Styela clava: one gene and its partners. The protein of the gene in region 1 purifies or fractionates together with the protein of each later gene. This does not show direct contact. Links are inferred from orthologs where the notes say so. Each region holds a gene or a part of one and is shown in the gene's direction. Other genes may lie near its edges. The genes, in order: succinate--CoA ligase [GDP-forming] subunit beta, mitochondrial-like; iron-sulfur cluster co-chaperone protein HscB-like; succinate--CoA ligase [ADP/GDP-forming] subunit alpha, mitochondrial-like; succinate dehydrogenase [ubiquinone] flavoprotein subunit, mitochondrial-like.

The links.
Region 2: the proteins of succinate--CoA ligase [GDP-forming] subunit beta, mitochondrial-like (region 1) and iron-sulfur cluster co-chaperone protein HscB-like purify together in Homo sapiens (affinity purification with mass spectrometry; 3 studies listed by BioGRID and IntAct, with this or other methods). This does not show direct contact. The link is inferred for Styela clava from reciprocal best matches to the Homo sapiens genes SUCLG2 and HSCB.
Region 3: the proteins of succinate--CoA ligase [GDP-forming] subunit beta, mitochondrial-like (region 1) and succinate--CoA ligase [ADP/GDP-forming] subunit alpha, mitochondrial-like fractionate together in Homo sapiens (co-fractionation; 6 studies listed by BioGRID and IntAct, counting the BioPlex papers as one, with this or other methods). This does not show direct contact. The link is inferred for Styela clava from reciprocal best matches to the Homo sapiens genes SUCLG2 and SUCLG1.
Region 4: the proteins of succinate--CoA ligase [GDP-forming] subunit beta, mitochondrial-like (region 1) and succinate dehydrogenase [ubiquinone] flavoprotein subunit, mitochondrial-like fractionate together in Homo sapiens (co-fractionation; 3 studies listed by BioGRID, with this or other methods). This does not show direct contact. The link is inferred for Styela clava from reciprocal best matches to the Homo sapiens genes SUCLG2 and SDHA.

The regions. Positions count from the first base shown.
Region 1 is NC_135251.1:16,269,180-16,276,781, forward strand, and holds the start of succinate--CoA ligase [GDP-forming] subunit beta, mitochondrial-like, read left to right. Parts: upstream 1-4,177; 5' UTR 4,178-4,241; coding exon 4,242-4,313; intron 4,314-7,602. Other genes in the region: alpha-ketoglutarate-dependent dioxygenase alkB homolog 4-like, read left to right, coding at 1,233-2,141; glycine cleavage system H protein-like, read left to right, coding at 3,483-3,992. UniProt on the Homo sapiens protein: GTP-specific succinyl-CoA synthetase functions in the citric acid cycle (TCA), coupling the hydrolysis of succinyl-CoA to the synthesis of GTP and thus represents the only step of substrate-level phosphorylation in the TCA.
Region 2 is NC_135253.1:534,511-541,897, forward strand, and holds the start of iron-sulfur cluster co-chaperone protein HscB-like, read left to right. Parts: upstream 1-4,181; 5' UTR 4,182-4,716; coding exon 4,717-4,828; intron 4,829-4,890; coding exon 4,891-5,056; intron 5,057-5,459; coding exon 5,460-5,610; intron 5,611-5,893; coding exon 5,894-6,035; intron 6,036-7,187; coding exon 7,188-7,261; intron 7,262-7,387.
Region 3 is NC_135257.1:15,449,276-15,457,450, forward strand, and holds succinate--CoA ligase [ADP/GDP-forming] subunit alpha, mitochondrial-like, read left to right. Parts: upstream 1-4,716; 5' UTR 4,717-4,748; coding exon 4,749-4,914; intron 4,915-5,400; coding exon 5,401-5,684; intron 5,685-6,415; coding exon 6,416-6,611; intron 6,612-6,706; coding exon 6,707-6,858; intron 6,859-7,182; coding exon 7,183-7,410; 3' UTR 7,411-7,599; downstream 7,600-8,175. UniProt on the Homo sapiens protein: Succinyl-CoA synthetase functions in the citric acid cycle (TCA), coupling the hydrolysis of succinyl-CoA to the synthesis of either ATP or GTP and thus represents the only step of substrate-level phosphorylation in the TCA.
Region 4 is NC_135261.1:7,416,518-7,423,858, forward strand, and holds the start of succinate dehydrogenase [ubiquinone] flavoprotein subunit, mitochondrial-like, read left to right. Parts: upstream 1-3,975; 5' UTR 3,976-4,077; coding exon 4,078-4,137; intron 4,138-4,962; coding exon 4,963-5,214; intron 5,215-5,526; coding exon 5,527-5,582; intron 5,583-7,341. UniProt on the Homo sapiens protein: Flavoprotein (FP) subunit of succinate dehydrogenase (SDH) that is involved in complex II of the mitochondrial electron transport chain and is responsible for transferring electrons from succinate to ubiquinone (coenzyme Q).

The DNA.
Region 1 (7,602 bases):
GTCGAACGGCGAATTTTGTTTTACCGGATGAGGAAAAGGGGGTTCGCAATATGGCTCTCCTCTGGATAAATCTGTAAATGGGAAAATATTACCATATTTATCAAGTTTTATGCGTTCACCGCCGGTTTTATCGATGGAAGAAAAGACGCCCAGGTACAGAGAAGTGCGTATTGTTTACCACACGGTCAAAGTTGTTGGTTTCGAGTAGATCAAATTCATAAATGTTGCGATATTGTCCCTGTCCAGCCGGAATGAAACAATACAGTATATATTTAATATGTTTCAACGATATACGCGATTACTCAGTAAAGTAATTTTTGAGCATGGAACGGAAACATGCATTCGTACTTCATTCTAGGATTTTTCGGATTGTTTGTTTACATGCCGCATAACACGCACAGCGGGCATTTAGTTTTGTTTTTGAAAAAATTGCACACAACCTGATTACAAAGTGAAACGCCTGAGTAATGACGGCCGTGAATATTCATGTTTATTTGTTTGTGTTTGTGACTTGTTTTCTTCCTTCTTCGGTGAGTGAACGCGTTTAATACGTTTTAAACTTATTTTATTAGGTTTTGTTCACTTTCCAAATTCTTCGTCTTAATCTTTCGTGTATACCGGTATATGTTTTTGTTTTTTGCGAATATATCGAAATGAAATCTTATCTAAGTTGCTATGCTAATAAACGCTGTTTCGCTGTCAAGAACGGTCATCTTGCCTGTGCGCTGGCCTCTGCAAGTCGTGCGACACGTTTCACGCAAGGTCAGAAACGCGAAAAGTATAAGCGGAATTTTTAACTGCATTATTTACGGCAATCGTACAAATATTTTTCTGAATTTTCAGTCGTGGGGATCGGTACATAAAATAATAATAATAGAGTAAATTTAAAAATAATAGAGACAGAGGGTTAAGATCTACGTTTCTCATTATTACATTGCTGTATTTCTTTTTTATCGCTGGGTCAGTAGCTTGAGATTGTAGCAGTTATTACCCCTACAGTCCTCATGTAGTAGTACCTAATAGTATAGTATAGGATTATCACTTATAGAGACTCTTTGAAATTGTTCTGTTCTTTTTGAACATTCATTCTTTCACTCGATCACGGTGAAAAGTGCCACTCATTTTTTCTTGGCTTTATAGGCATTCCTGTTATATGATTTGTTTGTTTCATTGAGTGTTGTGTATTCAGATTGTCGAAATAAATTGTATTAGTGTAGAAGTACATCAAATGGATGTTGTATACTGAGCTCAGGAGATATCATGCCAATTACAGAAATTCGAAAATGGAAGAAAACAAAAACGAAGAATGTGCTTGTGTAGGCATAAGAACTTGCCTCAAATGTGAAATGATTCATAAATCTGAAACTCTTTCACAAAATCAGAGAGAATGTAAACATTATTATTATAATCATGCCACCAAAAGTGCAGAACTGACGACAATCACCCAAAATGAAATTAACGAACTTCCACATTTTTTCGAATTTCCTGGTGTGATTGTCATTAATGACTTCATATCTCATTCCGAGGAAATTGCATTGGTGAATGCCATAGATGGTGAAATATGGAAACTGTCGCAATCCGGTAGAAGAAAACAAGACTTTGGTCCAAAAGTTAATTTTAAAAAACAGAAATGTAAAATTGCTTCGTTTTCTGGACTGCCCTCTTATTGTAAGTTTGCTGTGGATAGATTATCTTCAATCAATGGCTTGAATGACTTTAAGACAGTTGAACTCTGTAATCTTGAATACTCTCCTGAAAGAGGTTCGGCAATTGACCCTCATTTTGATGATAGCTGGTTATGGGGTGAAAGACTTGTAACTTTGAATTTGCTATCTGACTCATGGTTGACAATGACTTGGGGGGGAAGTTCTATCAACTGGAAAAATCTCCCTTGTATTGGTATGATCGATCCAACTGATATAAAAGTTAAGATACCACTTCGTGCAAGGTCTCTTGTTGTATTACACGGACCTGCTCGACACTCATGGAAACATGGTATTTTAAGGGAAGATATAAAAAATCGCCGGGTTTGTTGTACATTTAGAGAACTTTCATTTGAATTTTTAAATGGGAATCAAAGAAATCAAGGCTGTAATTTATTAAAAATAGCTAATACTTTTTCTGGAAATGTTGTTTTATAACTATTGATATTCTTCTCAGGTATGCATTTAAATGTATTTACAAATTGTGTTTGTCAAAACGATAAAAATTGAAAATTTTATTAAAAGGAAAATATTCCACCAGGTATTATAAAAGTTGAATGACAGTAATTTCGATAACTTCGACTGTTCTTTCTTGTTAGATCTTCACACTTCTGCGATTTTAAACATGCTTTGTTTGACCTGATCCTCCGTGCCTAGGGTAATACTAATTTTTGCACATTTGTAGGCCTATGTACCTGTCTACATTCAACAGGCTGGCGAGCTTGTTATTTATTTAATAGGCAATAAATTTTCATAAAATGTTTGAAAGAGTAAATCACTATGTTCTGCCCTTGTTTGTTTTGAAAGAGATGCTGTGTTATATTTTTTTGCATTCTGTGTCTCAAATCCCAAACGCTTTAAATCAAATCTCACTTATTGGATGAATGTCATCATGAATTGTGTAATTCCAGATGTTATGAACAGTATTAAAAGACATGAATTCAAAACTGAATACCTTATTATTTGTTGTATTAATGTGTCAAATATTGTTCCGTCTTGCATCAGTTTTAGGACTCAAAGTAAATCCATGTATTGTTTTCATAAAATGTTGTTTGTCATGATAAATACCAGATTTTTCCCATTATTATACCAATCTGTTACAAATTCGAAATAGCCAAAGTTGTTTCCTAGAAGACAATTGCATTGACCTGAGTCTTGTAGTCTCACACCAAATTTTGTTGATTTTTTCTTATATTTTTTGTTTCAAATGTGAAAGTAAATTTATTTCCAATATTTTGTTCATAGCACTTGTTTGATTCTTTAAAATAATTTAACATTATTCCCAAATTTTACATATGTTACAATTTACATGCTCGTTTTTTTTTGTCCAAATATGTTGTTGGCGTTTTCGGTAACGACCTTAGTCTGTTTTAATATAAACAGATAACCACTGCAGATTATTTTAAGTGATGTTTAATATGAACAAGTGTATGATGTATATTGTGCTTAAGAATAACCACCATTAAGTTCATTCATAGGTAATTAATAATTGGGTACCTATTGCTATTTCCATACATGGATGGACTGGTAATTGGATGAGAGGCCATGGTTTGCTATATGATTGAGCTGTCTTATTAGCTTTCCTCTTCTCTTTGATAATATAGAAATCCCATCCAGAAATGTCTTGTTTTTGATAATGTGAGGGTATGCTATATACTTTTCATTGCATAATTATTAATAAAAGAGACTATTTTCAAACATTTTATAGCAAAAGTGTAATTAATTTTAGTCCATTAGCCGGTGCCCCCTGGCACAGATTTTTATGCTTGCTTTGAAATTATGGAAAGATTGGTTAGAATTGGTTTATCAAAGCGAGTTCTGATTGTGAGTAAAAACATATTGCAGAGGAAATTCAATCAGCCATTGACATCCACTTCAGTAGGATTTGTCAAACGCTCTTTACACATTTCATCCAGAAGTCTTACGACATATTTCACCAAAGAACATGAATGGATAGATGTGAAAGATGGTATAGGAACCATTGGTATCACAGAACATGCTCAAGATCAACTTGGTGATCTGGTTTATTGTGAGCTTCCTGCTATCGAAACTGAATTTTCCAAAGGCGATGAGATGGCTGTAATTGAGAGCGTCAAGGCGGCTAGTGATCTATATTCTCCGGTATCCGGCAAAGTTGTTGAAGTAAATAAGAAGCTGGAGGATGAACCACAATTGATTAACGAATCTGCAAGGGGAGAAGGGTGGATTTTGAAAATGGAGGTCTTGGATAATGATGAATTGAAGGATCTGTTGAATGAAGATGAATATAAACGTTTTCTAACTGAATAACAAATATATAAATTGTTTGTACATGTCTATGGCGTTCTTGACCTTAGACCTTGCTGGACTAACAAGTGGGCTTTTTCGATTTCGTCCGACATATTAATTATTAAAGATCAATGAATTAATAAAGTAGATCATCACATACATGTTTGTTGTTCCAAATATTGAGACTTTTATTGCATTTTACATTTCTTGCTTTAGATCTCATCCAATAATTACCGTGTAAATAGTTTATACTGAGTAGTTATTTTTACAATGTCTTCTCTCAGACATGCTCTGAAACGAGCCACCAGATGCGGACAAGTTTTTACTCGAGTGAATTCCCAGGTGAGATACTTTTTTACGACGCTTATCCATGCATCTGGCTACGAACAATGCCTTGTAGAATAAATGATATGAAGTGAGCTACAATTATTTGAAAGATTGAAAACTTTCTGGTCTAACATTTCCTACCCAATTTATTTCACCCTGGTGCTCGAATCGAATGTCCGGAATCAGACACACCCACTTTTTGGACCAGAAAGCCTGTATTACTCTTCCTTAGATCATGCTCAGCATATTTGTGTAAATTTAATATAACCATTATTATTTCATAATATTTTAAGTAAGTCCTTAAATTTTTAGTTTGAAAGTTTAAGCTGATTTTGGCTAATTTAGAAGAGTGTTCTTGGTGCTGTGCCAAATTTTGTTGAGTTGTCATAATTATAATTAATAATGAAGCATTCAGATTCTAATTTACTAGTTCTAACTAACCCACCGAATAAACTGAATTATACAAAAAGATAGCTATATTACATGTTTGCCATTGAATTACAGCCAGTAATTTATCTTGGCTTCATTTACATAGGTGTAACATTCTTTTTTCCAAAGATTTATTTTATATACTCTGTGGAGCAATCAAATTGAACTGTATGGAATGTAGCGTGGGCCAAATTGAACATTGTTTTATCTCAGAATTGGTTAAATTTATCAAAGCAAATATACAAATTTCTTTTCTAATCAACTTATACAATTATTAATCTTAACATAACAAATATTTTACTGTTAAAAAAACTTAGTAAATATACATGTATAGTGTAGTATTGTAATGTTACAATTAAAAATGCAAGTTATTATTTTCGATAGTGTACTCGCAGGGATGGCCAATACCGAATAGTTCACTATTTCGAATACATTCGAAATTATTTTTTTCGAATATGAAATTTCGAATACTTCGAAAATAAAATCCACCAATTGAAGCTTATCTAAATGTATGTAGGAATTTCCATACAATAAGCAATGGAATAACTGCTATCTACAAGTTACAACCTAGCTATATTACCAGGCATATCATATTTGCAGATTATTGCAGTATATATTTTATATACCATGAGTCATGTTAACAGAAATAAATTAATACGACAATAGTGGTATCGATGATGGATTTGAATATTTGCGCAACACAAAATCATCCTCTTAAAATGCCCATACTTTTAAATACCAACCATAACCAAATTATTTGTCGAAAAGCGGGATAAAGTATGAGGTATTTTTCCGGCTTGTGACAATTTTTTCGTGAGTACAAAAATACGAATCAAAAATTAATTATATTCGGGAACTTTACCACACATTTTAAGTCCGCAGATCGCCGTTGTATGTTTGAGTAATAATACTTTTAATATTTTATAAATATGAAAATAGGAATCAAAAACTATTTATAATCGGGTAGTTTACCACACATTGTAAGTCCACAGATCGCCGTTGTATTTTGTAAATACGAAAATAGGAATCAAAAATTAATATTAATCGCGAGTTTGCCACACAATTTATGTCCACAGATTGTCGTGATATTGTGCCGAATATAATTAGTTTTAATTCTTATTTTAGTACTCACGAAAAATTGTCACAAGTTTATATTTTATTCCGCTCTTGGGAACTAATTTGGATAATGGTTCCCATTGGTTTGTATTTAAAAGTATGGACTTTTTACTAGGATGATTTTGTGCTGCGCAAAATATTCGAATCCATGACCGATACCACTACTTAAAATGCCTTACCGTGTTAATTTAATTCTATTATCATAACTCAAATGTTGGTAAATCGGGCAGTTTACCACATATTTGAAGGCCACAGATCGCCGTTGCATTTTAAAATTATTAGTTTTATTATTTTGAAAACACGAATCTGAAATTAATTATAATTGGGTAGTTTACCACCTATTCCATGTCCACAAATACCCGTTGTATTTGGCATTAATACTTTCATTATTTTATCAATATAAAAATAGGAATCAATATTTAATAATATCGGTCAGTTTACTACACATTTTATGTCCACAGATTGTCGATACAACCATGAGTTACGTTGAACAGAATTAAATTAATACGGCATGACATTTTAAATGCTGGTACCAGTCATGGATTGGATTATTTTGCGCAACAAAAAATCATCCTGGTAAAGGATGAATACTTTTAACTATCGTTATCAGAATTATTTGCCAGAAATTATTTTCTAATAAATCGACTTGTTTTTCCAACTTGTGACAATTTATTGGATATCGTAACAATGACGGCTATAAATACCGTATTTCCCGGCTAATAAGTGCACATGGCAAATAGGACGATGTCTATTTTTAGCACTCAAAGAAGGTTTTTTTCCATATAGGCCTCCAATAAGACGGGTCGAAAAATTCGATAATAATTTTATATGTTCAGAACCAGATCATGTTAGTTTGGTAGAATCATACTCACAGAATTAACTATTTTTAACAATTGAGCGGTAAATTTAAGTTGTAAAGCGACAATCATTTTGGACAACCTATTAACCCGAATGTTGAAATAATTTTGGAATGTGATGATAAGTACTACACTGTACGTCCACAGGTTATTTCACAGCTGTGTTTTCCTGTCCCTGTCCTGTTTTTCTGAATCAGCAAAACGAAAGGGTCACAAATCACTTTATCGCGGTGGCCGTGTTTCTCTTTAAAGTAACTATAACCGGCCTGCGAATAAATATCATGATTGGCAGACCCTAGGACCCAAATATAAGGTTACACAAATCATGCTTGAGAAGACTCATGCGAATAATAATTAGGCCACATAGAAATAAAATAAACATACTTTCTCAATTTTTCGACGTAATGGAAATGAATTTGTAAATTAAAAGCCTCGTACACGAATGTCGGCAATGTCCACGTGCAAATGTTTCACAACACTATGCGACGTACTGTCGCAAAGAATATAAACAAAGTGCCGATTCTATTTCATCGTCATTACGTGAAACAGCGTAAAAAGTCGTTTAAAGATTCCCGTAAAACGAAACACCACGTTTACGGCGAAAAGTGACAACTATTCGGAATTATTCGAAAATCAGCCGAAAAGGTATTCGAATACTTTGATATTCGAATACATTCGAATATTCGATTCGTTTTGGACAACCCTGGCTACTCAGTTACTCACAGTACTCCCATCTTATTATGAAAACCCAGGTTTGTTCATACAAAAGTTCATGAACTATTTTTAAACTAACTTTTTCCAATCTCTCTGTTGAGCAAAAGGCTCCAGGCTAGTAGCAGCCGTTGATACATAGTGGTCAGTGCCTTAATATTTGTTGTGCATCGTAATTAACAGAATTATTT
Region 2 (7,387 bases), on another chromosome or scaffold:
ATAGAGGACTTGCACGGGTCACGTGACTTTGTTTACTGGACGGCAAAAAAACAAAAAGGTCCAGCTGGCTCCTGTCAGTTGCAAGTCGGATTATACTTTTCCGTTTTGTTTAGCTGTTGAAAAGGATTATTTCGTATTGTTCCGTTGGCTGTACGTATAGTATAGACAACGAAATGGATCTTCAGTTATATTCCACTGTTTTCAAAAGATCTGGAACGTCGTGCAATGTGAATATCATCTATTCTATTGGCAGGACTGCTTGGTGTCAAGTCCAAAAGTCATCTCGCTTATGTTTCACTGTTTGCGGACAGCACTTCGTTGATGGTGAGTGATAATGGGCCGTTTGCCTGCTAACTAGGGAAACAATACCTTATGCCAATTCCTTACACAAGCCTCAAGTCTGCAAGTAGGCCTATGCCTACCAATAACAGTAGTTTGTCATCTGCTTTCCATTGAAATGAGGAAGCTTAGGAGTATTTAAAGAAATTGATAACGACACATTACACTCACCATCAACGAAGTGCTGTCCACAAACAGTGAAACACAAGCGAGATGACTTCTGGACTTGACACCAAGCAGTCCTGCCAATAGATGATATTCACATTGCGCGACGTTCCGGATCTTTTGAAAACCGTGGCATATAACTGAAGATACATTTTGTTGTCTATACTCTATAGTCTATACTATACGTACAGCCAACTGAACAATACAAAATACCCATTTTCAACAGCCAAACAAAACGGAAACGTATAATCCGACTTGCAACTGACAGGATCCAGCTGAACGTTTTTGTTTTTTTGCCGTCCGGTAAACAAAGTCACGTGACCCGTGCAAGTCCTCTATACTTTGTCATTAATTTTGCGATTGTTTTTACGTTAAATTATTGGGTGAAAAATACGTTAAATCAAAGCAAAATTGACGTTTGATCCCCAAACATTATTCACACGTCACAAGGTGTCGCTATGTTTTATTCTGACACATAAAAAACGAATCTTTAACTATTCTTAAAAATTTCAAAGCAATTGGTCTAGTAATTAAAAATAAAAGGGACTCTTTAAAAAACGTGTCAAAGAACAAGAACAACAACAACATAATATTGAAGCGATCGTTATGTTCACTGACATGTTCAAAAATACGTCGAATTAGAGCAAAATGAACGTTTAACCGTTGACCCCAAACATTATTTCTATACTTTGTCATTATTTGAGAGTGTTTGTGCGGCTTTAGATACCGTTACTGTTCAGTACCACTACATCCGCGTAAAATTATTGAATAATAACTATGCTGAATCAGAGCTGTAACTGACCAGCGTCGTCAAGGAGTCTGGCGATCTTTTCGCCTATAACTATTATCACGGGATATCATTGAACACGATGCGCCATACCAATACCGCCAAGCAATTATGAAATATGGTTTTTTTTGGGTCGCTGTTTTCAATCAAGCTTGCAAGCTAGTATGTAGTCAATAATTATGGAGCTGCAATTTGTTTGCATCTTTATATTACTGGATTATTGATTTAAAAACCCTTTAAATCGATTTTCATTGGTGAGTAATTGCAAATTTTCGGCGTGCAAAACTGAATTCGCTCGCGTGCATTTATGCGGAGCGCTAGCGCTCTCGGGCGTGCACTTGCTACTGAATCCAGTCTGAGATGCCATGAGATCAATAACTTGTATAATATTGATACATGTAGCTCATAAAGGATGATACAACAAGAGTATTCGTTTTTTAAGTTATACAGTTATAAGGTAAGATTCGATGAGTTTTCTTCATTGTTTACAAGTAGGCCCAAAAACACTACCAGACTACCGTTATGCTAGATAAAAACTGTGCTCACAAACAATTACAGAGTAGGTATATCACTTTCTGTTTACAGATATTCACAATTTGAACACTTGCAGCTGGAGAAGACTTTCATGCTTGAGCTCTTACCACCTAATCACCACAGTTGTTGTACACTGATTGAAATACCAAGCCAATTACTGAAGAATATCTTAAAAAACTTCTGCGGGGTACATACTGGGACAGTAAAGGGGTTTGTTTGATCAGACTACTGTAAGGTATATCAAGTTGACAATTACAGACTTCTGTACTAGCATTTCCCTGCCGTGTTTCTAATAGAATTGTTTGAACAAGAAGTTTGTGATGTCAAAGAAGCTCTTACAAATGTTGTAAATGAATGAACCGTAACCAATCCAGTAAAACCTCTAGGAAATACTGAATTATTAGCTAGCAACCTTTCAATTATCTACTCTTGCCTGGAACCTTGGAGACAGCCAAAATATAATTAGTAACAGAGGAAAAACTACTATTACTGTATTGTGTTCTTGTATTTATGCATATTTTTAACAAATTATATCTCACCCACAGATTGTAAATATTTATGTTGGTATATTTTTTTGAAAAACTGATCTGCTCAATTGACTTGAGCGTGACTATGAGATCGAGGAAAAATTAACTTGTAGTATTATTGTGTATGATCATTTCTACTATTTAGCACAAGTAAATATAGCTTATTAATATATTAAAAAGTATTATCAATCTTCTTTTATATTTTTTGCAATTACTATGTAATGAGTACTACCGTAAATATATACTACTACTACAAGTGGGTGATGGGAATATGCATCCAGGTCAGGTGGACAAAATCTATGCGCAAGACGACATGCAGTTACATTCACAATCATATAGTCATAGCGTCCAGACTCCATTTGAATCTTCAGGTCATTGCTGTGAATGCTTAATATTAGGCGACGTGGAAGTGTACATTTTGAGGAGTAGCATTTTTAATCTGCCTTCCAGTCCCAAATCAACCATGGAAAATGGATGACTTGCAAAATGTCTATCTTCACACCAGGGGTGGCCAAGTTCCCATCATTCAGATACAATTTATCTACAGAACGGTGGTTTGTATTTCAACCAAATGATCCATGTACATGCCGTGGTCCGCCATATGATTGAGCCGTTTTATCGGCTTTTCTCTCCTCGGGATAAATATGTAAATCCTTCCCTCCTTTTAATTATACAGCAACTATGATGACTGTTGTATGAGCTCGAGCATGGAGGGGTTCTGCTGTAATTATCGGTATTCAAATCGTGAACATCTGAAAAAATGTGATATAGCCTACTTTTACAACATAAGTCTTCCATTATCAATGATCACAGCTATAACCAATTTTACCTTATAACTTTTGCAGAAGTAAATAGGATGACTTTCCTTCACTTTGGCATTCTTTTTGAGCTGCTACCATCGGCCTGCTGTATTGTATTCATAAGCAACCATCCCTTCTATTTTCGACACGTTATTTTACTCAAATGACATAATGCCTCAGAATCAACGACTAACATACCGCTCAGAATGGACTTTTCCCCGAGCATCGACTACCTTGTTTACTTCGTGACATTGGCCAATCAGCAAGATGCAAAAAAGTGACGTAACAATGCTCCCTTTTTGCATCCGCTCAGACACTTTTCTCACTCAGACAGATTTTTAAGCGTGGTCGTAAACATTACCTCGTTTTCGCGTTTTTGAACTCTATTTGTTAGTTTTCAGTTGTGTTTAGGAAACGTAAATATAAGTCGGATAATTCAATGATCACTCTGTCTTTCCAGGAGTTTTAATTTAATTGCAGTAATAAAAAATCAGTGTAGAAATAGCTGTGATAGACTAGGCTAAAATTCTCTACGTTACTTTTAAAACACAGATTGTTGTATGCGATGAATCATAATGATGGTTTGAATCACATACCCCATTTTACAAGCGCAAACTCGCAAAAGCACTCTTAGAATAGCCCGAAAATTTTGCAATGGTAAAGTATGGGAAGAATTTTTCGGGGGTCAAAGGTCGGGGAAAGGTCCATACATTTTGTTTTTTCAAATAGTATCTTTTAGTTCCCGCTACGAAACACCGTGACGTCTCAGTAATCATAAGAAACATTGCAAGTCAGACTTAATCGCGTCGGCGTTCAGAGCATAGATTTTTTGCATTGTCTCTGTCCAGAGCAGGAAATCGCAGTCGTCACCTCTTTTTGCATCAAATCGCAACAGGTCAAAGGTTATGTATGGATTTCAAGAATGACACAATAATGGACCTTTCCCCGACCTTTGACCCCCGAAAAATTCTTCCTATACTTTACCATTGCAAAATTTTTCGGGGCTATTTTAAGAGTGCTTTTGCGAGTTGGCGCCTGTGAAATGAGGTATATGTTTCAAACTATCATTATGATTCATGGCATACAACAATCTGTTTTTTAAAAGTACCGTTAAAGAATTTTAGCCTAGTCTATCACAGCTATTTCTACACTAATTTTTATTACTGCAATTAAATTAAAACCACCAGGAAGACGGGGTGACCATTAAATTATTTGATTTACATTTAATTTTACAAAACACAACTGAAAACTAACGAATAGAGTTCAAAAATGCGAAAACGAGATAATGTTTACGACCACGCTTAAAAATCTGTCTGAGTGAGAAAAGTGTCTGAGCGGATGCGAAAAGGAGCATTGTTACATCACTTTTTGCAATTTGCTGATTGGCCAATGTCACGAAGTAAACAAGGAAGTCGATGCTCGGGGAAAGGTCCGTACTGCAATAATATTACGGAGTCCATGATAAATTTCCGCGGTCAAATTTTATCCCGTGACAGTTACGCCTGTAGCTGCAGCAAGGTGTCTAAACACCTGGTTAGTACCGGTAGTTGTCCACTTCACAGCAATGAATCCACGAATTACAAGACTGTTCACCCTTATCGGAATGGTTGGTGGAGTGAATGTTGAAACAATCAATCGAGGATGCAAACTGCTATTTGGTCCTGGGAGAAGCGTGGGTATGAGTACAATTTATTAGACTGCTTTCTGAAAAAGTGTTTCAAATGTGCCTGTTTTTCAGTGAATATCTTGTTTTCGACACGTAACAAAACATTCATCTTGAGAAATGGTAGAAAAAGCTATATTACTCTTCTTGAAAGACAATATTCATTCAGAGGTTCCCATAGATTCTCCACTTCATCTGATGGAAGTTTTGACGAAAACGAAGTAATATGTTGGAAATGCGGGTAAGTGTAACAGTTTCAATTTTTCACTTCGTATTTCAGCATCGAATACTTTTAAATTTTTTCTAGCTGCTGGACTATGTAGGCCTATACTATAAACACTCATATGAATCAATCACAGAAATATATGCACAGAAACCAGTTATTAACCCCTCCTGAACATCTCAGGTCCTGAATGCCACATGCTATATCTGTATATGGTGCTGTATTGAATGTTAGCCTACTGTAAAGGGTAAAACCAAACTTGAAGATAATTCATTGAGCAGCCATTCTGGCGAAGAAACTTTGACATTGACATAATAAGGGTTAATTCAAGTAATTTGTTGGTATAAATAATTTTATTTTGATTTAGGGCCTAATTGAGTCTATTCAAAATTTAATATTGAATTAAATTATTTTGTTTCAGGAGACCAATAACTTCAAGATTTAAATTTATTTGCAATCATTGTAAAATTATTCTCCCACCTACATTTCTTACATTTTTTGAAATATTCAACATGGATGAAAAATTTGATATTTCAACTTTGAAACTTCAGAAAGATTTTAAAGACATGCAAGTAAGCAGCCATAAGTTTTATGTTTACCATTTTCAGAGTTCTGAATCTGCAATGGATATTTTGCCTCCTGTTTTTGGTCTGATATGAACAGATTTCAATTTTTATTATGACGTAGTGGTTGCTAGTGGCTGTATTTGTTGCCTATTATTGTATTATGTTTCATGATTTTTTGTATCGGCATGTTTACTGATGTGTCCATATCTAGATTTTCCACTGGTTTCCGAGATCATGCAAATATAACAAGTATTTTTTATGTCAATTTGCCAAAATGTTTGTGTTTTAGCGTGTTTTTCATCCAGACAAATATTCATTACAAGGTGCGAGGGAGAAAGATCTCTCCGCTCAAATATCTTCACTTTTAAATGTTGCATATAAAACTCTGCTGGACCCGTTATCGAGAGGAGTTTATATGCTTAAACAGAGAGGTAAGGAAAGAGAATATAAAGCAAGAGCATAAATTAAACACTGTTATTGTGACAGTTGAAAGTGTTTTGCAAGTAAGGAGACGTCAACCTAATGTCCACATGCTTATCATTGAAATAAATCTTTTTCTCAGAGCGCATGTGAAAATTCCAAGCCCATTGGCACCCAGGATATATGGCTTCTTCTTTAACTAATTACTTTTATCACAGCTTTATTTAGTAACCTCTGATTATTTGTGTGTCGTTTTCAGATGAGTAATTTATTTCATTTTGGCTCCACCTGATCTTATCGACATTTTTTTAAATTCATTCATAATGCAGAAGAAATGAAAGAAAATGTTTTCTTGCCTGATTCAAATTACGTTATTTTTTTTCATACAACTTCTCATAAATATTACCCACTGCGGCACTCATGAAGTATGCGTACCAAGATGGCGAACATTGGAACATAGTATGTGTACCAGGTTAGGGTTGAGCCATAATTTCAGGTACAAATACTACAGGAGTCACTTGGCTAGTCGCCGCCAGAACACGTAATTGAACTAAAATAAGGAAAATTGGAATAAAAAAACTTCAGAAGCAATTACTGTACTTCACTGCTATATACAAATACACACTGCCTAAGATATATTTTTTTATTAGCAATAGACAATTTCTATACAGTAGCCTATTTTATGGTGCACCTGTGCAATAGTCCTAATTAACCAGTGATACCTGTTACGACATGACAAATTGGTTAATGTTATTAGAGTTATTTTAAATTAATACAGTTTTGGACTTGTGTGAGGAAGTGCATGATTTGATTTGATTTTTTCTTTCGCAGTCATGTAACACCTATTGTGGAGTCAAAATAAGCTCACTAATTTAGCACACCTTTGTTGTACCTTTAAAAAAATGTTGGATGTTTCAAGTGGTTGGACCCACTGATTTATTATAAAACTTGTGAAATTTAACCCATTATTGACTACGATTTGACAGTTTATTGACATGTTTCAGGATATTTTTGATCAAGTTAGTATCCATTCGCATAACTTGTCCAAAACTCACAGTGGCCTATTTTGTATGAACCTCCTGTTTGCGGAGATATCAAATGTTTTGTGATGTGCTGTAGATGAGCCTCTGGATTTATTTCTTGTTTTTTATTCATTTGTTCAGGCATTACTATTGATGAAGAAACTCAACTTAGCAATCCTGAATTTTTGATGGAAATCATGGAACTAAATGAACAGGTGAGAAGATTTTAACACAATGGATTTATCTAATTGCACTGCGGCTACTAAGTGGAACCAGCACGAATCAGCAGTTATAAGCAGCATATTTTATATGAGTGCTGCCTGGTTATTATCGCCCTTCAT
Region 3 (8,175 bases), on another chromosome or scaffold:
AATCACAGACTACAGACTACACAGACCCCACAACGAGAAAACATTAAAAATCAATTTATTCTAATTAATCATTCTGATGAAAATCGACTGTAAGTTTGTGGGGCGTTGGTGTAACCTGGTTGCACTTAACTGTTTAGTTCAGTGGTTCCCAACCTTTTTTACCCCAGCGGGCAAGCAAAATTAATTTAAAAGAGTTCGCTGATCGGTAACACATGCCATCGTATGAAGACCACGATGTAAAAATCTCTGAGATTCAGAATATTTGTTTAGTTTCAGTACAATGTTAAAATATTGCAGATTACTCCATAATTAATTCGAAAGCTAAACAGAACATGAAAGTAAAATTATAGGTGAAAATACCTTTGCTGGGTCTCATCTTATTGAGTGCCTTTTATTTTTTGTCGTTTTGTTTTTGACTGCATGAAGCGCTTCGAATTTATGTATGAAATACAATATGCCCCATATTTTCGCTTCGTGTTCAAGGAAAATTATTTAAATGTCTAAATACGATCCGATCGCAATATTAAAATTGTTCACTTTTATAAGAATGGGATGTGGACAAAACACATATGTGTATATTTTAGAGTAGATACTCACGATAATTAACATAGAGCTTTTGCAACGGATGGAAACCTTTTCATTAGATGTATTCTTATAATTGTGCTTATTTACTCATTCCAGATAAGATATTTGTCAAGTCTCGGAGGTTGCTCCAAGAAAGACTGGATTGGAGAATCATGAGCTCAGTTATAACAAATTTACTCTCCCGCTCTTTTAACTGTGCAGGACGCGGTGGATAAGAAGGAGTGAGTGGGACGCCATTAGTTTCTGCTATTGAAGGTATGTAATATGTTTATCATATTGTACCACCATATTTCTCTGCTCTACCCTCTTCTATTTTATAAGTATAAGATTATTTTGACTCCAAATCAGCTTAAGATAATTCATAAGGGAAATGAACAAAAATTGATTAAATAGAATCTGACAATCTGGAGTGAAAACAAAACCTTAATTAAGATAGAAGCGTAAAGAATATAAGGTTTTGCCAAAAAGATGTCTATCGTGTTCATGAATTAAATTAAGTTACACACACACAACAACAACAGAGATATAATAAAATAAAAACAGGCGAGAAAATTTAGATAAGTTGGGTAGATGATTGTCAAATTAAATAATGATTTTGTAAACAACTGTGAACAGTAAAGAAATTGAATGTAGATTTTGTATACAAAAGTGAACAGTATAGAAAAATATTTATTAAGGAGATATCGCCAAGCTGATTATGGTTAGAGTCAAGTGCCAAATTGCCAATCCAATGTTGCCAGAGTTTAGTGCATAATGGCGAACAGTGGTTTTCGAACTTATTTGTATCATCGCTCCCTTACAGTACTTTTTACATTATCATCCCCCCCTAGCACAACAGCAAATGATGAAGTTACAAATAAATTTATTATAAATCAATTAAACAAATAGACTAATCATGGTGCATGATGTTTCTAATACGATAGATGAATTTCAACAAGGAATATTTGAAGACATTTTAGTCAGATAAAATCTCAAATCATCATTATGCGGAATCAAGAACTTCTGTATTTCTCGATTATTATTGTCTTGTCAATGTAAGCTTCACTCACACATTTGCGACTGCAGAAACTTGGCTTAAGATTCCTACTCTGAAAATTTGTTGGGATGCAGTCATTCAGACTAGGCTTTGAACTCTGGTGCTGTAATTTGCTAATACTGCAATTTAACACAGAATTTTTATATTTTCCAGCTCTGGATGATCTGGCAACGAACTCCGATTAATTTTATTACATGTATACATATTTGTAAAATAAAGACATTTTGTTATCTTTTGTTTTTTATTATATAAATAATGTTGGATTAGTGGGAAATTTCTATGTAGTATAGATCCATTCACTGTCTGTACAACACATCGCCTAACTTGGCCCGACCATATGCCACGATTGTATTACAACGTGTCACCTACGTAGGCCCGGCCATATGTCACGATTGTGTTACAACGTATCGCCTACGTTGGCCCGACCGTTTGCCACGGTTGCATTACAGCGAAAGGACCGACGTTGGCCCAGCGGCCAAATCTTCGCTGGAACATGGTTGTTCGCCATTATCGGGCCGGTGGTTCGAACAACGTTCGGCCATGGTTGTTCCGACGTAGTTGTGCTATCTGGGTACTCTTTAAATAAGTCATCAACTTTTTCTCGATTTCCTCTATTGAAAACTTTTCTAATAAAACGGTTGCATACACTTCGAATTTTTTTGATAATGGACGTTTGGCGATGAACATAAGCTGAAGCGCAATATCGAATATGGCTTTCTATTAGTGAGTGGTATAGGGATATTAAACAGGATGTATTTAAATTGTTGGCTATTTTCGTAATAGCACCTAGACCTTGTTTTAGATAGAATCAGGTTTGTGTGCTGTTTCCAACACAATTTGTCATCAATTATTACACGCAAAAAGCGCGTCTGGTTAACTCTTTCTATATTTATTCCATTCAATTCCAGATTTTGTTGCGGTGTTAGACACTTTTGCTTTGGCGCGCTAAATACCATATATTTAGGTTTTTCCAAATTAATAGTGAGTTTGTTCGCAGACAACCAAGCTTGAATATTTTCCAAGTCAGTATTTGCTTTGGTCAAAAGTTCAGGCAAGTCTTTGCCTCGAAGATATGGCGTTGAGTCATCAGCAAAAAGTATGATATCAGAGTGATGAAGAGAATTTGGAAAGTCGTTAATAATGATTGAAAAACATAATGGAGCCAAAATAGAACCTTGTAAGGTGCCTACAGTCAAATTACAGTATGGGCTAGATGCTACGTCATTGTATATTACTACTTGTTTCCTTCCTGATAAGTAGCTTTCAAACCAATTATAACTCTAACCTCTAACACCATTATGGTGCAATTTGGCTAGTAATATGTCATGGTCAATACTATTAAATGCCTTGGAAAGGTACAAGAACATACTAAGAGTATACTCGTTCTTTTCAAATCCTTCTAAAATTTTACTGACAAGTAGAGATGTTGCATGGCATGTTGAGTGATTTTGGCGAAAGCCAAATTGCTGGGATTAAAAGAAATTTTTTTGGTCTAGGAAATGATTGAGTCTCTTGTACATAATTTTTTCTAGAATTTTGGAAAATGCAGAAAGTAAGCTGATCGGTCGGTAGTTTTTTACATCCTTTGCATTTCCTTTTTTGAACAATGGAATAACTTTAGATAATTTGAACTGGTCTATGTATTTACCAGATTGTATGGAGCAATTAAAGATATGCGTGAGAGCACAAATACAATACCAGGGCATCATTCGTATAACTTTAAAGGGAATTCCATCTATTCCGCAACTGGTTTTGGGTCGAAAAGGTTTCAGAATATTTTGGACTTCGAAAGCTGTTGTCGGGGCAAGGAACATGGAGGTTTTACTGGGATGTCCCATATATTGCTTAAAGTCGTTCTTTCTAGTATAAGTAAACCGTTCGATCATTTTATTTCCAATTGTAGAAAAGTGCGAGTTAAAATGATCTGCTATTTTGACAGGATCGGAGGTTTCCTGGCCATTAATAGAAAATACTCTACGTGTAGTCGCAGACTTATGGCTGGGTCGCAATCGTAGTAGTCTGGCAGGTGACCCAGGCTAGCAGCGCTCCAACATACTGTATAATGAAACCATAGTTAACTCAGTAAACTATTAAAATCATATTTTTGCACCTAATTCTGTTATATGTTCGCAAGTGGCTCTACTCCCGTGGTGTGCGTGTGACCTTGCAGAATAATCTGAAATGGCCGTTTTGCCAGTTTATGAAGCACTTGTGTTTCAGCCGACTGTTACCGTACTGTGGCAGACTTGTAAGTGTAAGATGTGATGTTAAATGTACATTGTACGGTATAAAATACATTGAGGAAAGGCGACTGAGGATTTACTGGAGTGGTTGCTTGACACTAGATTCTGAGATTAAAATACACTTGCAGATTTGACATAACGCAAAGATGCAGTTGCAGTTTTAGGTGAGTGAACACGTACCACTTCTTTTTGGCAATACCTTCTATCTTGTACGTTTTAAACCTTGTCCAAGGTTTTGTTCACTCTCCTGATTTCATAATCAGTTTTTATTACCGCACCGTACCGTACAACGGCTGACGGCTAACTCGCCGTGAAACACTGAAACAGCAGAATGGTACCGGTACCGTACCGGTATAGAATCTGTAAACCATGCAAACTATTGCAGTATTGGAAGAATTTTGTGCAATAGACTGATAGAAGGTTGTACAGTTCAAGGGTTTTTACTGAGTCTGTGAGCTAAGTCAAGTTTATTTTTTCCAACCAGTAAAAAAAATCATACACAGATAGTGAGAAAATAATATTTGCAATTTTAGTGGGCTACTGGGGACGCGGACGGGAAGCCGCAGTTGAAACATGGATAGTATTGTGGAAGACCATAGCTATTTAGGCCTTAATGCTTTCAGGCTTCGGCATATTTAGATACAGAATTAGATACCGGTAAGGTACCGTACCTTGCCGCCTTCAGTACTGCAGTACGATATTTGTCAAACTTTTTTCAGTTATCATTAGGTTAGGTACGTGGCTTACATACCATGGCATCCACAATGTCGCATCAGCTCGTGGCTTTATCAAGACGACTTTTATCTCGTACCTTGCCGCCTTCAGTACGATATTTGTCAAACTTTTTTCAGTTATCATTAGGTTAGGTACGTGGCTTACATACCATGGCATCCACAATGTCGCATCAGCTCGTGGCTTTATCAAGACGACTTTTACCACAAACAAGATTCGTACTTCCGAAGAGATCTGAAAGCTCTATTGTTTATGATGCTACAAGAAAGAACATGGCTATCCAGAGGAGTACAAGAGTTATCTGTCAAGGTTTTACTGGTAAGTTTCATTATCTGTTTTAACAACTAATGAAATTGATTATTTGGATTGATTGAGTGACCCATTGTACACAAGCACATTCCAATTTGTATTTTTCAGATTGATTTTAAGGTAAATTGAGTTTACAGCCCAAGATTGTTTATTATGGTATTTTAGTTTTTTTTCATATATATTCAAACCATAAAAGGCATTTTATAGAAGAAAACTTAAAAAGTGGGGCTAATGATCCAAAATAAAGAATTAGGTGCAGTCCGAATCCAATACTCGAAAGGTCCGGATCCGGACCGCGGTCCGCCAGTTGAGTATCCCTGGCATAGGTTACACAATATGTAAATATTATTTGCTGTATCTCATTTTGTCTGCTGTGCAAGTACTACAATGTTTTATTAATTTCACCTCATATTCACATAATTTTTGTTCGTAGAAATATGGAATAGTATCAATCTCTTAAATTTTTTAAACCAGTAATATGACTTGTCGTTTTAGGCAAACAAGGAACCTTCCACAGCCAACAAGCGATTGCATATGGGACCAAGATGGTTGGTGGCGTGTCACCAAGCAAGGCAGGAACAACTCATCTTGGCCTTCCAGTGTTTGCATCAGTGAAGGATGCTGTGAAAGAGACAGGGGCTGAGGCATCTGTGATCTATGTGCCGCCCCCTTTTGCTGCCGAAGCCATAATAGAAGCTATTGATGCGCAAGTGCCATTAGTTGTTTGTATCACTGAAGGTATTCCTCAACAGGACATGGTTCGTGTGAAGCACAAGTTGGTACGTCTTCATTTGGCGATTACAAAAATTTATGCTCATACTATTATCTATACGATCGGATATTTCATTGTACAATAATTTGCTAAATAACCGGGTATAAGGTTAGTATTGCATCTGGCATGGCTGTAAATTATCAGCTAAGTATAGAGTTCTACCTGGTTTTGTTTTAAGTTACCATCATATTTGATGCAAATTTATCTCACCACTATTTCTCAGCTAACCAGGGCTACAACGCAAGCATTCAATGTTGTGTACTTATGCATATGCACTCATGCTAAACCGTAGACTATTGCCACTTCAATGCCCGCAAAATTAAGTAGAAATCAATTGGATTCATTAATTACTGGTATCGGGCAAGTTTGCTATGGTACATTTTTCGGCGCTCCAGAAGTATGTGTACCAATATGAAGGTAACTAATTTTGTTCGCCTATCTTACTTCAAGTTGTGCAAAGGGGCTGAAACCTATGGGCAGGGGGATATTCACTTGGTTAACACAGACAGTCCCCGAACTCGTAATAGAACTAAAATAAGAAAAATGGGAAAAAAATTATTGCCTAACCTTAAGCTGGTACACACACTACACTTTCTACAGGAGTACCCATTTTTTAACATCGAACAATAAATTAAATGCTTGTAAATCGGACACTCTGTAAATAATGAGGCGCTCAAAGCTTCACAAAATCCCTCAGAAATTGATTCGTTTTATTTCAGACATTTTTATTTCTTTCAGGTGAGACAAAGTAAAACAAGACTCATAGGTCCAAATTGTCCAGGAATTATCAGGCCTGGTGATTGCAAAATAGGAATCATGCCTGGACACATACATAAACCAGGAAAGATTGGTATCGTATCAAGGTCGGGCACATTAACTTACGAGGCAGTGCACCAAACTACACTGGTTGGCTTGGGACAAACATTATGTGTTGGTGAGTTACTAATTAAATAGCAAATGTTGGGTTGCATCTTATTTAGGCACACAATTTTTGTATTATTCAATTTTCATAATTTTATATTTCCCTAGGAATTGGTGGAGATCCTTTTAATGGTACTAATTTTGTTGATTGCCTGGAAGTGTTCTTAAATGATCCTTTGACTGAGGGCATTCTTTTGATTGGAGAAATTGGTGGCGGTGCTGAAGAAAGAGCTGCACAATATCTTATTGAAAATAATATGGTTAGTTATCATTATTAGCATATGTTTGTGATGGCGCCTGCTTTTTATTTTATTTTCAATATTTTCTCTGGGATTTCCTGAGATCCGATATTGTACCCGAAACTTTTCCGTTTTATTTTAAATCATGAAAACTCTGTCGATCATGAAATTCACACCTGCCTTCCATTTTGATTTTGCAAATTCTGTGCTCAACTGAATTTTAGTGTGAATCACATAGGCTCATGGTACCACGGTTCGTTATTGGACCTCCGTGTCCATATATATCCGAGCATTGTTATCTTGTATTAGATATATTATGCCAGACTTTTATTTCTTGGTTCACAGGGAAGAAATAGTAAGCCTGTTGTTTCCTTCATCGCTGGGGTAACTGCTCCACCAGGAAGAAGAATGGGACATGCTGGTGCCATCATATCAGGTGGTAAAGGGGGAGCAGAAGGAAAAATTGCTGCTCTCAGGGATGCTGGAGTAAACGTAACTATGTCGCCTGCGCAAATGGGGACTGCCATGATTGAAGAATACACCAAATTTTATGGAAGAAAATCTTCTTCATAAACCATACATGCTTAACGTTCAACCAGGTCATGTGTTTAATAAATTGTTTATAACCTCGTTTATCCCAAGGTTGAGCCTGTCTTGGTGGTGAGTTTGTGACAAATTAAATATATTTCTTTCTGTGTAATTTATTCCAAAAGTGATTATTAAGCCCTCAAGGATTTTCGAATATAGTTTCTCTCAACTTGGTTATCGTGGCTGTTTACCTTTTTATGGACAAAGTTGTAGTGGGAACACTTGAGTAAAAAATAGCAGATTTACCTGGTAGCCCACATCAGCGGAGGTCTCAAAAGGATCGCAAAAGTTTGGTCCATTAAGATGAACACCGGTAAGCTTGAGAAAATGTTAAATTGTGATGTGGATACCGAAGGTACTGAAATTCCTGTATTTCGCTTGCCGTACTCTATTGAGTAGAGGGTGCTCCAGAAGTATGTGTACCGATATGAAGGTAACTAATTTTGTTCGCCTATTTTACAAGTTGTGTAAAGGGACTGAAACCTATGGACAGGGGGTATATTCACTTGGCTAACACAGACAGTCCACGAACTCGTAATATAACTAAATGAAGAAATCGAAAGAAAATTATGGCCTAAACTGGTGCGCATACTACGGGAGTACCGAATAGAGTAATATTCTCTTGTACGAGTCCACGGGCATAGCCGCATATGGTGGAGACGAAAAAGAGCTCGGCGGTCGGAACGTCGTGCTGAACGTTGCGAATATGCATCGTAACTCTAATTGCAGTAGACGGCGTGGGTTCACAGG
Region 4 (7,341 bases), on another chromosome or scaffold:
TTAAATTGAGAGAGACAAACACGCAGCTCTTTCTCGGTGACTCTCAATTTTTCGTGTTTTTTATACTCCTATGGCGGCCAAGAAAAGGGTGGGCAAAATCGAATATTTTTTTCGAATCAAATAATTCGAATATTTTTAACAAATACCGAATAGTCCAATACCGAATATTTTTTATACGCAGCATGTCCAGAACGTCGCCGCCATGGATCGCCGTTGTATTTTGTAAATACGAAAATAGGTATCAAAAATTAATAATAATCGCGCAGTAAACCACACATCTATGTACATAGATTGCCGTGGTATTGTGCCCGAATATAATTAATTTTTGATCCCGTATTTCATTCTTTGAACTTAATATCTGTTTTTATAAATTTTGCAAGCAGTTCACGCACGAAGGCTTTGAATAATGATGTATTAGTCAAATCGAAGTCCTGTTAGACCACTGGTTCTCAACCAATGGGCCATGGGCCACTGGTAAGCCTCAGAGGCATTTTGAGGGGGGCCACAAACATATTATAAATTACAAGGTTTGTTGATTGGAAAAATTGATTTGATAACAAAATCAGCTTCACGCGTCTTGAAAAACAAGACATCTATTTCAAAACATGCCTCGCCGTAACCACCCATTGTGGCGCAACATACCCATTATACGGCAGGAAATGCTAGATATGAATATATATATATATATATATATATATATATATAGTAATTTGTTTGCACATTACATCAAAATTAAAAAAAATATAACGAGAATGTCATTGCCTTCAATATTCGCCAGGCTTGAACTGAGCATAACATATAAAAAATTAACAAAAAACGAATCCACGAGGACATTGTCACATAAATACGAACAAAACAAACATTAAATTACCCAATTCCTAATATATTAAATTTTCAAGTATTCCTCATCCTCACTATCCGTCGGAAGAAATTTCATCCACTTCTTCCTTTTACTGTTCAGCTTTTTAGTGACTTCAAACACCTCATTATTCGTCGGAAGAAATTTCATCCACTTCTTCCTTTTACTGTTCATCTTTTTAGTGACTTCAAACACCGTATTATTCGTCGGAAGAAACTTCATTCACTTCTTCCTTTTAGTATACAGTTTTTAGTGACTTCAACCACCTCATTATTCGTCGGAAATTTTTTTATCCACTTCTCCCTTTTAGTGTTCAGCTTTCTAGTGACTTCAACCACCTCATTATTCGTCGCAAGAAATTTCATCTATTTTTTCCTTTTAGTGTTCAGCTTTTCAGTGATTTCAACCGCCTCATTATTCGTCGGAAGAAATTTCATCCCCTTCTTCCTTTTAGTGTTCATCTTTTCAGTGACTTCGACCACCTCATTATTCGTCGGAATAAATTTCATCCACTTCTTCCTTTTAGTGTTCAGCTTTTTAGTGACTTCGACCACCTCATTATTCGTCGGAAAAAATTTCATCCACTTCTTAAGAAATTTCATCCACTTCTTCCTTTTTGTGTTCAGCTTTTTAGTGGCTTCAACCACCTCATTATTCGTCGGAAAAAATTTCATCCACTTCTTCCTTTTAGTGTTCAGCTTTTTAGAGACTTCAACTACCTCATTATTCGTCGGAAAAAATTTCATCCACTTCTTAAGAAATTTCATCCACTTCTTCCTTTTTGTGTTCAGCTTTTTAGTGGCTTCAACCACCTCATTATTCGTCGGAAAAAATTTCATCCACTTCTTCCTTTTAGTGTTCAGCTTTTTAGTGACTTCAACCACCTCATTATTTGTCGGAAGAAATTTCATCCACTTCTTCCTTTTAGTGTTCAGCTTTTTAGTGACTTCAACCACCTCATTATTCGTCGGAAAAAATTTCCTCCATCTCTTCTTTTCAGTGTTCAGCTTTTCAGTGACTTCAGCCACCTAACTACCCGTCGGAAGAAATTTCATCCACTTCTTACTTTTAGTGTTCAGCTTTTTAGTGTTTTTCAATTTTCACCTTTGGGAACACTTCAACTTCCGTTTTCCCTCCACCTCATCCGTTTCTTCCTTCAGCCTTTTAGTGTTGTCCATCTGTCCTCTGGTGTCCCATCAGCCTAAGCTGTGGTTTGCAGCAGTACAGTTGTGGTTGTTTTAGTTGGATATTTAGTGTTTTAGGTTTATCTTGTGTCTGGTTAATTAATGTTAGTTCTTGAGAAGGGTACCGGTACCAAGAGTGTTTATTTTTGATTTTATGGTGTATGACGGGTTTGGATATTCTAATATTGGTCAATAGGATGTTTTTATTGTTTGAGTGGGGTCTCGTGTAGTTTCGTACCTAACGTACTTCTAGAGGGCGTAGCATAACAATTTTTTCACCTATCAATCCTAACATCCTACCTATCCTTCACCTATCAATCCTACCTGACTACCCCATCCAAAAATTACGTCGCTACGACGTCACAGTGACATAATAAAGCCCTTCAAACTATACAAACTGTCACCCAAGACGCGCAGACGAGAACCTGAAATCGAACAGCTATATTTCTCGTCGCAACGATCCCGATAGGATCGCTGACGTTAGTTAGTTCTTTATCGTCGGCGCCGATGTCATTTCGGGCGATCGTACGTGTATTTGGCAAGTTCTATAACGTGATCGTGACGTAATTTTTGGATGATGTAGTCAGGTGGGGGTTAGGATTGACATGTCAAAAAATTGTTATGCTACGCCCACTAGAAGTACGTTAGGTACAAAACTACACGAGACCCAAATTACGTCACCATCACGTCATACTGTCATGGGGGTTGCTTAAGTATAATACGATCGTCCGAAATGGCATCTGCGCCGCCGATAACGAACTCCCTAACGCCGGCGATCCCTCTCCTATGGCGATCGTTGTGACGAGAAAACGAGAGAAATAGCTTGGGTGATCTTCTGGGCGTTTTGGACGACCATCCGTATACTTTGGTGGGCCTTATTACACCACTGTGACGTTTAAATGACGTATTTTTCTGGCGACATAATCAGATGGGGGTTAGGATTGACATATGCTTGAGTCAGGCTAACTAGAAGTAGGGTAGTGTAGCCAGTCTGCAGACGATTTCATTCAAACCGCTATAAAACAAAAACCAATATTTATAACCTGTTAATTTTTTCACCATAGGTGCATGGGTATTTCTTCTACACTCTAAACCTCGAATTAACTTTCTACGACCAGGTGTTAAAGCTATACAAACCACCATAGTACGACACTCTGAAGGCCTATTTGCGATCGAACGACCAGTGTGCGACCACGGATTTCAAGCCTTGAACATCATTTCTGCTGCGTCGAGACTAGGGCATACGCAGCCATGCGTCAAAAAAATTAGCTTCTAATTGCATATCTGACTGTCATATATTTTAAGAACAAGGTTATTTCGAACAAAACTCGTCAAATTTTAAACAAAGCACCGCATTACAGCAATCAAACAAACAAAAACACGGTGGTCGCAAATTGGTCGACAATCTGACAATGCTATTATCGACGTATTGGAAATGCGCACCCCCCTATTCCCCCTCCTTTAAATGTAGAAACGCGAAACTTCAAAGATGGTTAAAAGAAACAGAACTCTACCCACCTGCCAAGTTTCATCTTTTTATCTCTTATATTTGTATGGATTTTCAAGCTTTTTCAAATGGACAGTAGGTAGTTGGCGACATGGAAAAATGATCCGTTCACCATATTATCTCAGCAATCTGTTTTAGACAGGGGAAATCGGGACAGGGTTAACAGGAAGGATGAGGCAAGGGGGACTTTGAAGTTGGACATCGATGCTCGAGAGACAGACAACTCACGTAACTGCGTACGGTAATGTACTTGCTTATCGACTGGCGTTAGTGCCGACTGACATCAGGTGTAGGTCAACTCATCACGACAAGGTTTCAATCTTTGGGTTCGACTTTGTTTTTTGCTGATGATGTCTTTTATAGGCTATCTCTGATGAGTTGTCCGTGCAGTCGATTCGTCCGCCTCCCTCAATACGGGTAAACATGAAAGAGTAGAGATTAAATGTCAAAGTCTCAGGCCTTCTTTTAATCTGCTCTTCACAGATCATATTTTGTATAGACTAACATTTATCAGTTCCGCCAAAATTATGGCATCGTCACTGTTAAGAATAACATCAAAGACTGCTGTGGGTTTAACAAGATCGACAGTAAGTATTGAAAATGTTCAATTCCATTCAAATATGAAGTTTTTAAATTGTACTGCCACTAATTTTAATATTCAGATATCTAGAATTTCAAATGATTTGATAGCTTTTAATATTACAAATTGAGAAATGCAGAATTTATTATGACAATTAGGCATCACACTATTAATTTTTCAGTATATTTTTACCACTAACAGTCAGCTTGTTTATTTTTATGATATATTTATACGCCCTATCACTCCGATAATGGCTCTGGACAATCAACGAGTCTGGTATAGTTTAGTACCACACGCATTTCTAGTTGGCCTGGCTCAACAATTTTTGCATATGTCATTCCTAACCCCCACCTGACTACGTCACCAAAAAATTACACTACTACGACATCATAGTGGCGTAATAAAGACCTCCAAAATGCATGGATGGTTGTGTGATTGTGATGTCGTAGTGACATATCTTTTGGATGGCATAGTCAGGTGGGGGTCGGGAATAACAAATGCGAAATTTGTTATGCTACGCTCACCGGAAGTACTTGTGGTACTATACTATACCCCAAGCAACGTCTGCTAGGTAAAGCTACTATATTTCACAATTGGTCTTTCCAGTTTGACAACGCCTACTAATTCATCACACTCTGGGTGACTTTGTGGGAATGGGATTCAAACCTGAGATTTTTAACTTGTGATGTCAATTTAATGTCCAGCCCTTTGAACACTAGGTCATCATGCCTACTACGGAAAATTTTATAATTGAATAAACTTATATGTATAAAGTATAAGTTAAATATGTATATAAGATGATTTATTCACCCAAAATGTTTAATTTTTCAAGGGTCTGAATGTACTACCATGCATTACGACTGGATTAGATAATCAGTTCCACACTTCAAGCAAGACAAATACACTTGTTAAACGAGATCAGATGTCGAATGAGTATCCAGTCATAGACCACACATACGATGCTGTTGTTGTTGGAGCGGGGGGCGCTGGTCTTCGAGCTGCTTTTGGACTTTCAGAAGCTGGCTTCAAAACAGCTTGCGTCACGAAACTATTCCCAACGCGATCTCACACAGTGGCTGCTCAGGTTTGAGTCCTTTTTTCCATTTTTTTGGTTTCTACCAGGTTCGACATGTTTTTCGCGTAATCGGAATTGCAGACTCTCTATGTTGCTAAAGTATTTCAAAACTAACCACTGGAACTCAAAAAGCACTAATATTATTAAGCGTTCTTATTAACAGTGTAGAGAACCTGTACATTCTGAACTTCTGTTATCAAGATGTGATATTTCATGTAGTTCGGAGGTTCGTGTCCCTTAGTTCTTACCCTGGTTCCAGTGTATTTGTTTTACTAGTGATTGTATCATATCAATAACGAATCTTGTTATTCTTTCTGACAGGGTGGCATAAATGCAGCTCTTGGTAACATGGAAGAAGATAATTGGAAATGGCACATGTGAGACTTATTCATTCTTCATCTTTTATTTTTAACCATTTTGAGATACATGTAGGGATAAATTATTGAGATTTTTGATGGGGAAAGCTCTTATTAGGTCTGAAACCAGGAATCCAAGTTTGCCATGGAGTTGGACCTGATGTTATATTTAAAAACTGCCCATGTTCTGGAGTCAAAGTCAAAAATTTTGTCCCCAGACTTGGAATTTCATACTTTCAACTGTGATAATAGTGTAAATTTTGTGATAGTAGTAGTTCTAGTCAAATCTTTGTCAGTCTGGAGTTGATTTCAAGTTTTCTGACTCTGTTCTGACTTTTTGATATTGAAGTTGGAAGTCAAGTGGCTACTAGCTCTCATTAGGAATTATGTTTCAACAAGATTCTGAAAGTAACATTGGTTTCTTACTTTTTATAAACGATTTATCGAACAGCTCTAATTTCCTGACAAAATTGTTTGCCGATGATGCCTGCCTTCTCGATAGTGCGAAGGATTTGATCACACTCCAAGCCAAAGTGAACACTGGAATTAATAAAGTATATGAGTGGATGATATGCAATAAACTCACTGTAAATGTGGAAAAATCCAAAGTCATGTTATTCAGCCCTAAAAGCCGGACTAGAAATTCAAGTCTTTCAATTAAAATTAATGGTATTCCACTAGAAATCGTCCAGTCTTATAGATATCTTGGGCTTCATATTGACCATCAACTCAAATGGAACAGCCACATCACTGAAATGTACAAGAAACTCTCCAGATCAGTAGGGATTCTGGGAAAACTCAAGTATTATGTGCCGAGCCCAACTCTGCGGACTATTTACTTTGCTCTTTTTCAATCACATATCCAATACGCCTTAGCTGCATGGGGCTCCGCTACTCAAACTAGCTTGCGTAAATTAGAGATTTTACAAAATAGGGCTGTTAAAATTCTCTCCGGAGCACCAGTTCGTTCAAACATAAACACCCTATATCATAAAGCCAGGGTGCTAAAATTGTCTGACATCTATAAATTAGAAATTTCTAAGATTATGCACCAGTTCCACAACAACCAATTGCCTGCAGCTTTCGCTGATTATTTCACTGTTCTCAGTAATGTGCATGAGCATAACACACGCTCTTCGACAAAATCGAATTTTTTTGTTCCCAGATTTTCGCTAAGCAAGTCCCTAAACTCCTTGAAGTATAAGGGTGTTGTAATTTGGAATAGTATTCCCCAAATCTTACGTGACTCTTCTTATGAAACTTTCAAAACAAAATATAAAAAATTCTTGCTGTCACCTTACCAGTCTGCTGTGATTGCATCCAAATGATGTGGCCTCAGCACTCGCTTGCTCTGCTAGGCCTATACCTGTAATAATAATACTTTTTTTCAATTTTTTCATGTCCTCATCTTATTGCATTCTTGCCAGTGATTTGAATTATGTAAAGTGTGCCATGCTAATTGCATGACCTGTATTTGTTCGTAACCTGCACAATATAGTAAACTACTTTTCTTATGTTTGAGATGGTTCATGAAGCTTTGTACGAATTCATGGAATTTAACCACATTGAAATTCTAAGCCCATCTGCTCAAGATCTTGGTTAATTAGCATAACATCGTGACTTGTTTTCTCTTGCAGTCAGTAAAGCCCAAATTGTTTATCTGATTGTCATTATACTCTTATATAACATTGTAAAAGTATTACCTGACAAATAATATTTTTTTATGTACTTTTAAACTTTGCTTCATTGGTTCACTCAACTATTAGACTACGGTACTTGA